Linked DNA regions of Macaca fascicularis. The protein of the gene in region 1 interacts with the protein of each later gene in a pairwise test. Links are inferred from orthologs where the notes say so. Each region holds a gene or a part of one and is shown on either strand. Other genes may lie near its edges.

What was found.
Region 2: the proteins of PAK2 (region 1) and RHOJ interact in binary tests that used the Homo sapiens proteins (3 or more experiments, as listed by UniProt). The two-hybrid records come from large-scale screens. The link is inferred for Macaca fascicularis from reciprocal best matches to the Homo sapiens genes PAK2 and RHOJ.

The regions. Positions count from the first base shown.
Region 1 is NC_088376.1:2,236,529-2,240,351, forward strand, and holds part of PAK2 (serine/threonine-protein kinase PAK 2), read left to right. Parts: intron 1-211; coding exon 212-408; intron 409-3,823. UniProt on the Homo sapiens protein: Serine/threonine protein kinase that plays a role in a variety of different signaling pathways including cytoskeleton regulation, cell motility, cell cycle progression, apoptosis or proliferation.
Region 2 is NC_088381.1:131,104,015-131,107,210, forward strand, and holds the end of RHOJ (rho-related GTP-binding protein RhoJ), read left to right. Parts: intron 1-135; coding exon 136-282; 3' UTR 283-2,385; downstream 2,386-3,196.

The DNA.
Region 1 (3,823 bases):
GGACTCTGTGACAAGTAAAAGTAAAATGTGAGAGTGTGTTACATCATGAAAATATTTTTAAACTCATTCTGGTTTACTTTATTAATAAAATCCTTAAAAACAAGAGGCTGAAGAGTCAAAATATAATTAATTACATCATCTGAAGTGAACTCCTTTGTTAAAACGATCTGTGGAAACCATTAACTCTGTTCTGTTTTGTTTTGTTTTGTAGCTGACTTTGGTTTCTGTGCCCAGATCACCCCTGAGCAGAGCAAACGCAGTACCATGGTCGGAACCCCATACTGGATGGCACCAGAGGTGGTTACACGGAAAGCTTATGGCCCCAAAGTCGACATATGGTCTCTGGGTATCATGGCTATTGAGATGGTAGAAGGAGAGCCTCCATACCTCAATGAAAATCCCTTGAGGGTAAGATCAATTAAACACCAGCCTTGTAAATATTTTTCTTGAATTTAAAGTAGAAAGTTGATAAAACCTAGTCTCTGCCCCTAACTCTTCATCTGAAAATCATTTGCTTTCTGAGTCACAAATTAATGTGCTAGGTGAAGACTTGGTAGGTTTTTAGTAGTAAGCTGTATTGTTTTGTGTTTTACATAGGAAGTTTGGAGCACCTGCCTCTAAACCTTCTCCTTCTTTTATGTTTTAAGATTTTTTGAGACAGGGTCCCACTCTGTTGCCTAGTCTAGAGTGCAGTGGCGCAATCTCAGCTCACTGCAACCTCCACCTCTCAGGTTCAAGCGATCCTCCTACGTCAGCCTCCCAAGTGGCTGGAACTGTGGGTGTGCACCACCACACCCAGCTGATTTTTGTATTTTTATAGAGACGGGGTCTCTCCATGTTGGGTCAGGCTGGTCTCAAACTCTTGACCTCAGTTGATCCACCCACCTTGGCCTCCCAAAGTGCTGGCATTACAAGTGTGAGCCACTGTGCCTGGCCACTTCTTTTTCTTTTAAATTACCATATGTGGTTCGACATTATCACTTATTAAGGAAATGTAAATCAGAACCTCAACAATCAGTGGCTGAGGCAAGAGAATTGCTTGAACCCAGGAGGTGGCAGTTGCGGTGAGCCAAGGTGGCCAAGAGCTACTGCACTCCAGCCTGGGCGACAGGGTGAGACTCTATCTCAGAAAACAACAACAGCAAAAAACCCACCCCAACAGGATAACACTTCCAACTACTAGAATTGTTACACTCAAAAAGACAATAATAAATGTTGGTGGCCAGGTGCGGTGGCTCACACCTGTAAACCCAGCACTTTGGGAGTCCGAGGTTGGGAGTTCAAGATCAGCCTGACCAACATGGAGAAACCCCATCTTTACTAAAAATACAGAATTAGCTGGGTGCGGTGGTGGGCACTTGTAATCCCAGCTACTTGGGAGGCTGAGGCAAGAGAATCGCTTGAACCCGAGAGGCAGAGGTTGCAGTGAGCCAAGATCGCACCACTGCACTCCATCCTGGGCAACAAAGCAAAACTCTGTCTCCATAAATAAATAAATAAATGTTGGTGAGAAGATAAACTGGAACCCTTGTTCATTGCAAAATATAAAATGGTACATCTGCCTTAGAAAACAATTTGACAATTCTGTATGAAGTGAATACTGGATTACCAGATGACCTAAGAGTTCCTCTGCTGGGTACAGACAGCAGAGCCAAGAGAATTACAATCATACATCCATACAAAAGCCTGCATGCAGCCTCAATTATTTCCACTAAAAATGGAAATAATTCAAACCTGCTGAACAGTGGAATATTATTTGGTCATAGGAAGGAAGTGCCAATCTGTGTTGCAGCACTGAGCCTTCAAAGTATGGTGCTAAGTGAAAGAAACTGAGTAACAGATGGCAGTAGATTCTGGCCCTCTGTATCCTGAATGCTTTTCATCCCGTTGCCAAAGATTCCAGTTCATGTGCGCAGTTAAAGTACTTCTCTAGAGGTGATTAATTAGGGTACTTTTCAGAACGACGTTTAAAGTCCTCTAATTTCATTCATTCATTTAGCCAGTATTGATTTGAGTACCTGCCGTGTGCTAAGCACTACTCAAAAGGCTGTCTAAAAGAACCCACACAAATTCCTGCTCTTACAGAACTTATATTCTAATGGGAAAAGAGAGAAAAACCAAATAAACAGAATAATGTGTAATATATTGAAGAATGGACTCTTGAGTGCTGAGACTGGCAGGAAGGAGGTTAGGGCGTTTACTTTCAAAAGGTGCTTGGAGAGCTGGGCACAGTGGCTCATGCCTGTCATCCCAGTATTTTGGGAGGCCAAGGTGGGAGGATTTCTTGAGCCTAGGAGTTCAAGGCCAGCCTAGGCAACATAGTGAGACCCCATCTCTACAAAAAAAATTTTAAAAATTAGCCAAGCATGTTAGTGTGTGCCTGTAGTCACAGCTAACTGGGACCATCCCGCCTCAGTGGGTGGGTCACTTGGTCCCAAGGAAGATGAGGCTGCCGTGAGCTGTTCTCACATCACTGCACTCCAGCTTGGGTGACAGCTAGGCCCTGTCTCCAAAAAAATACAATAAAAATAAATTTTAAAATTAAATCAAAAGCATGCATAGGGAGGGCTTCACTGAGGTGAGGTGACATTTGGACACAGGAAGTGCGAGAGTGATACTTACCTAAGGGGAAAGGATTCTAAACAGAAGGCACAACATGTGCAAAAGCCCTAAAGCAGGAGCGTGCCTGGTGTATCAAGAGGTGATGACGGACCTCAGCATAGCTGGCCTCTGCTGAACTAACAGCAAGAGGTGGCGGTCGATCTGCAGAGAAACCAGGCCAGGCTGTAGTGCCTTATGAGACCCTTGGAAGGATTCTGGCTTTTACTGGAGGCCAGATGGGGAAACTGTTAGAGAGATTTGAGCGGAGGAGTAAGTTGGTCTCCTTAGGTTTTAATAGGATTGCCCTGGCTACTTTGTTGAGAGATTCTTGAGGAAGGCAAAGGCAGAGCAGAAGACCAGTTAGGAGGCTGATGTAATGATTCAGGCAAGCAGTGATGATAGCCTAGACCACGACGGTATCAGCGGAGGTGGTAAAAAGTGGTGGGATTCTGGATGTATTTTGAAAGAGGAGTCTACATGGGAGAGAGAAGACCAACGGGATCTGTTCCCAAGTAACTTAACTGCTTTCCTGTACAAAGCTGAAGAATATTACAGGACTGCGCCCACAGCCAGGAGTGCGCTTAGGCTTCAGAAGAGGCTCGCCTCCAGTGGCCTTCACTGTGACAAAAAGGTATATTTGAACCCCAGTGAGACTGGTGAAATCACCAGCGCCAGCTCCTATCAGCAGATCCAGAAGCTTTCCAAAGATGGGCTGATCTTCTGCACGCCTGTGACTATCCATTCCCAGGCTGGATCCCCCGCCCCCCGCAAAAAAAAAAAAAAAAACCCTTGGTCGGGCACGGTGGCTCACGCCTGTAATCTCAGCACTTTGGGAGGCTGAGGTGGGCGGATCACTTGAGGTCAGGCGTGACCAGCCTAACATGGTGAAACCTTGTCTCTACTAAAAATTCAAAAATGAGCCAGGCATCGTGGCGGGCACCTGTATTCCCAGCTACTCGGGAGGCTGAGGCGGGAGAATTGCTTGAAACTGGGCGGCAGAGAGATTCTGTCTCAAAAACAAAAAAACCACCTTGGCCCACAGGCATATGGGCATAACTGCTAATGCACAAATTACCAAAAAGGCAACATGGATGAGGAAGACGAGAATTCCGTCCCAGCTGCTCAGAAGACACTGTGAATCCACGAAGATTGGCCTTTACATGTACATGAAGTAAAGGGGGGACATGTTCAAAAACAAGCAGGTTCTTTGGGAACTGATTCC
Region 2 (3,196 bases), on another chromosome or scaffold:
GGCAAACGTAATCCAAACCACCCCACAAGCTGTTTGTAGGACAGGCAGAAGTGAGTGCTTGTCTGGGCAGTGAGCTGATACCACTGTGCTGTTCTCTTTTTTCTCTCTCATGCCTTTCTCTCTTTTGCGTTTAAGATCGGAGCGCAGTGCTACTTGGAATGCTCTGCTCTGACTCAGAAAGGTCTCAAAGCGGTTTTTGATGAAGCAATCCTCACCATTTTCCACCCCAAGAAAAAGAAGAAACGCTGTTCTGAAGGTCACAGCTGCTGCTCAATTATCTGAGGTTGTCCGGGACCTGCCTCCACCCCACCCAGGCATGAGAATGGCAGCCAATGTCTGCGGCCAAGCTCCAGCCAAAAAGGAGGGCACGACCAGAAAGGAATTCCCTTTGCACGGAGGCTTGCCCCTCCACCCTGTGAGCCCTCCCAACACAGCACACTAGTCAGCCCACTGCCACAACCTCCCTGCCAGCCAGAAGCGTCCGTACTGCACACTCTCTGAGAATGCTGGGCCTGGATTGCAGACAGTGCCGCTGCTGATCAGATCAAAAACAAAGTCAAAGGCCTTTTACAAATCCCCAGCTCATGAACGCGAAGCTGATAGGAAATCACCCCAGGGAACCGGAAAAAGAAAGTTGGTTCCTCTCTTGGTGGCCTTACTTGATGTTTTACAAAACTTGGGACTACAATACTAACCTTTTTTTCTGAATCTGCTGTTCTACCCATGTGTCTCACATTCATTTGTATTATTTCAAGAAATGTACTAATTTCCAGTTTACTCAGGCCTTACAAATCCATACCAAATTAGCCTAAAGACAAGGCATTTTATATTCATTTCTATTTTCAGCATGTTTCTACCAAAGCTATTAGAATCAACACGTACCTCTGAATGCCTGATTATAAGAAGACATGAGAAGACTTAAAAGTTTTGGAAATTTACAGAGCCATGATTTTTGAACCTGATTGAAAGAAAACCATCTGAATTGTTGCAGGTCCACATTTTTGCCAAAGATGCACTCTACAAATGCTTAGTAGTGGCCTGATTTTTTTCCATATTATATTGCCATGACAAACTAAAAATGAACTGTGTTTAAGAATATAGTATTTCTGTTTTTCATCCAAGTTGATTGGGGGAAGAATATGGCAGGATCCATCTTTTCAGTATTGTGTATTCAGTAAAGTGGACGTTCCTGCTCTTCCCTTTCCCCATTGCATGCCTCTTCCTCCCTTGATTTCACTTTCTCTCATGCCCAGATCCTTTTTTCTCCCCAGTTATAACCCAGTTATAAAAGAAAGATCTGAGCATAAAAATACATGTTTAAAAATACCTAAAGGTAAAGGAAAGTGTCTTAATTTTTCTATTTACTTCAACTGAAAGGCTTCTAAGCTCGCCCCATGTAAGTTCTCATTCCATATCAGTGGATACCAAGCTCTGTATCCATTTGTCCCCTGCCCTCCACGATGTGTGACATAGAACACGGACTTTGGTCCTGGGAAAGCAAAAGCTCGCAGTAAGGAATCCTGTGCCAAACCATGTACAACAATTCCAAACCTCCAGGAATGTTTGTATCACAGAGCAAATTACTTCCTGCCTTTTCATTAGCGCCTATCAGGGCTTCTAATTAGTCTTACTTGCTTATAAGTGCCCTGGAATCATCCAGGTAGGAGCTTAATTTTTTTCAATTGCATGAGCAAAGTGCTTCTTAGTAGTATGAAATTACAACAATTTTAGTTTAAGACTTTCCAGATTCAAGCTCCCACTGTTGGAAAAAACCAGCCTTTCTAATCTCTTCTGCTATTGGAGTAAGCCCTTAAGAACTGCGTGATAGCCAGGCACAGTGGCTCACGCCTGTGATCCCAGCACTTAGGGAGGCTGAGGTGGGTGGACCACTTGAACTCACGAGTTCGAGACCAGCCTGGGTAATGTAGTGAGACCCTGTGTCTCTATAAAAAATTAAAAATTAGCCAGTTGTAGTGACACACACCTGTAGTCCTAGCTACTCAGGAGGCTGAGGCAGAAGGATCACTTGAGCCCAGAAGGTAAGACTGCAGTGAGCTGTGACTATGCCACTACACTCCAGCCTAGGTGACAGAGCAAGAACCTGTCTCAAAAAAAAAAAAAAAAAAAAAAAAACCCTACATTTCAAGTACTATTTCCCTTCTCTCCCATCTAATTGCTAAACATTTTCTTTCATATGCATACACTCCACTGACTAGAAAACGGGAGTTTTAAGTCAAAGCTTGACATTTAGAGAAAACAAGGACTTTCTGCCTTTATAAATGGAAATCAACTGTGTATGAACTATAACTCTGCAGAGGTGATGAACTCATCCTTTACAAACAATAATGAGTTTTAGTCCTGTAATAAATGAAATGTTACTAGGCAGCTTTGTTGCATGATTGCATAGTTACATCTTGCTAACGGGCCACTCGTTTCTCATTGACATGGATGAAAAATTGAGAGCAGTATGTTTCCAGGTGTGCGCACTCGACAGGCAAATAGCTCCCCAGGTCATCGCTCCCCTAATGGGCCACAGGAAGTAAGCTGATCATGATGGGGAGATCACTCTGTCACCCAGAACCAGCAACTGGATAGAGACTGTGGTTAGTGTCTGGGGGGAGCACAGGCTCCCAGGGGTCTTAGGAGCTAATTACTGAATAAAACAATCAAAAACAAAGCAACCTAAATAAGTTCATGTCATTCTGCCAAATTAATCAGTTATTCCTTGTTTCATGGCAAGATCCAGTTTGTTTCACTAAAAAGTGTTTTCTGCTATAAGATTAAACTGTATTCTGAAACCAAAGATAAGAAGAGACATAGAGGTCAGGCACAGCGGCTCACGCCTGTAATCCCAACACTTTGGGAGGCAAAGGCAGGTGGATCATGAAGTCAAGAGATCGAGACTATCCTGGCCAAAATGGTGAAACCCCATCTCTACTAAAAATACAAAACTTAGCCAGGCATGGTGATGGGCACCCTGTAATCCCAGCTACTCAGGAGGCTGAGGCAGGAGAATTGCTTGAGCCCGGGAGGTGGAGGTTGCAGTGAGCCGATATCACGCCATTGCACTCCAGCCTGGGCAACAGAGCCAGACTCCATCTCAAAAAAGAAAAAAGAAGAGACACAGAAATTTGAAGAAGGATCCTTTAATGGTCCACACCATCTTCCAAAGTCCAGAAGTGGCAGCTGATATCCA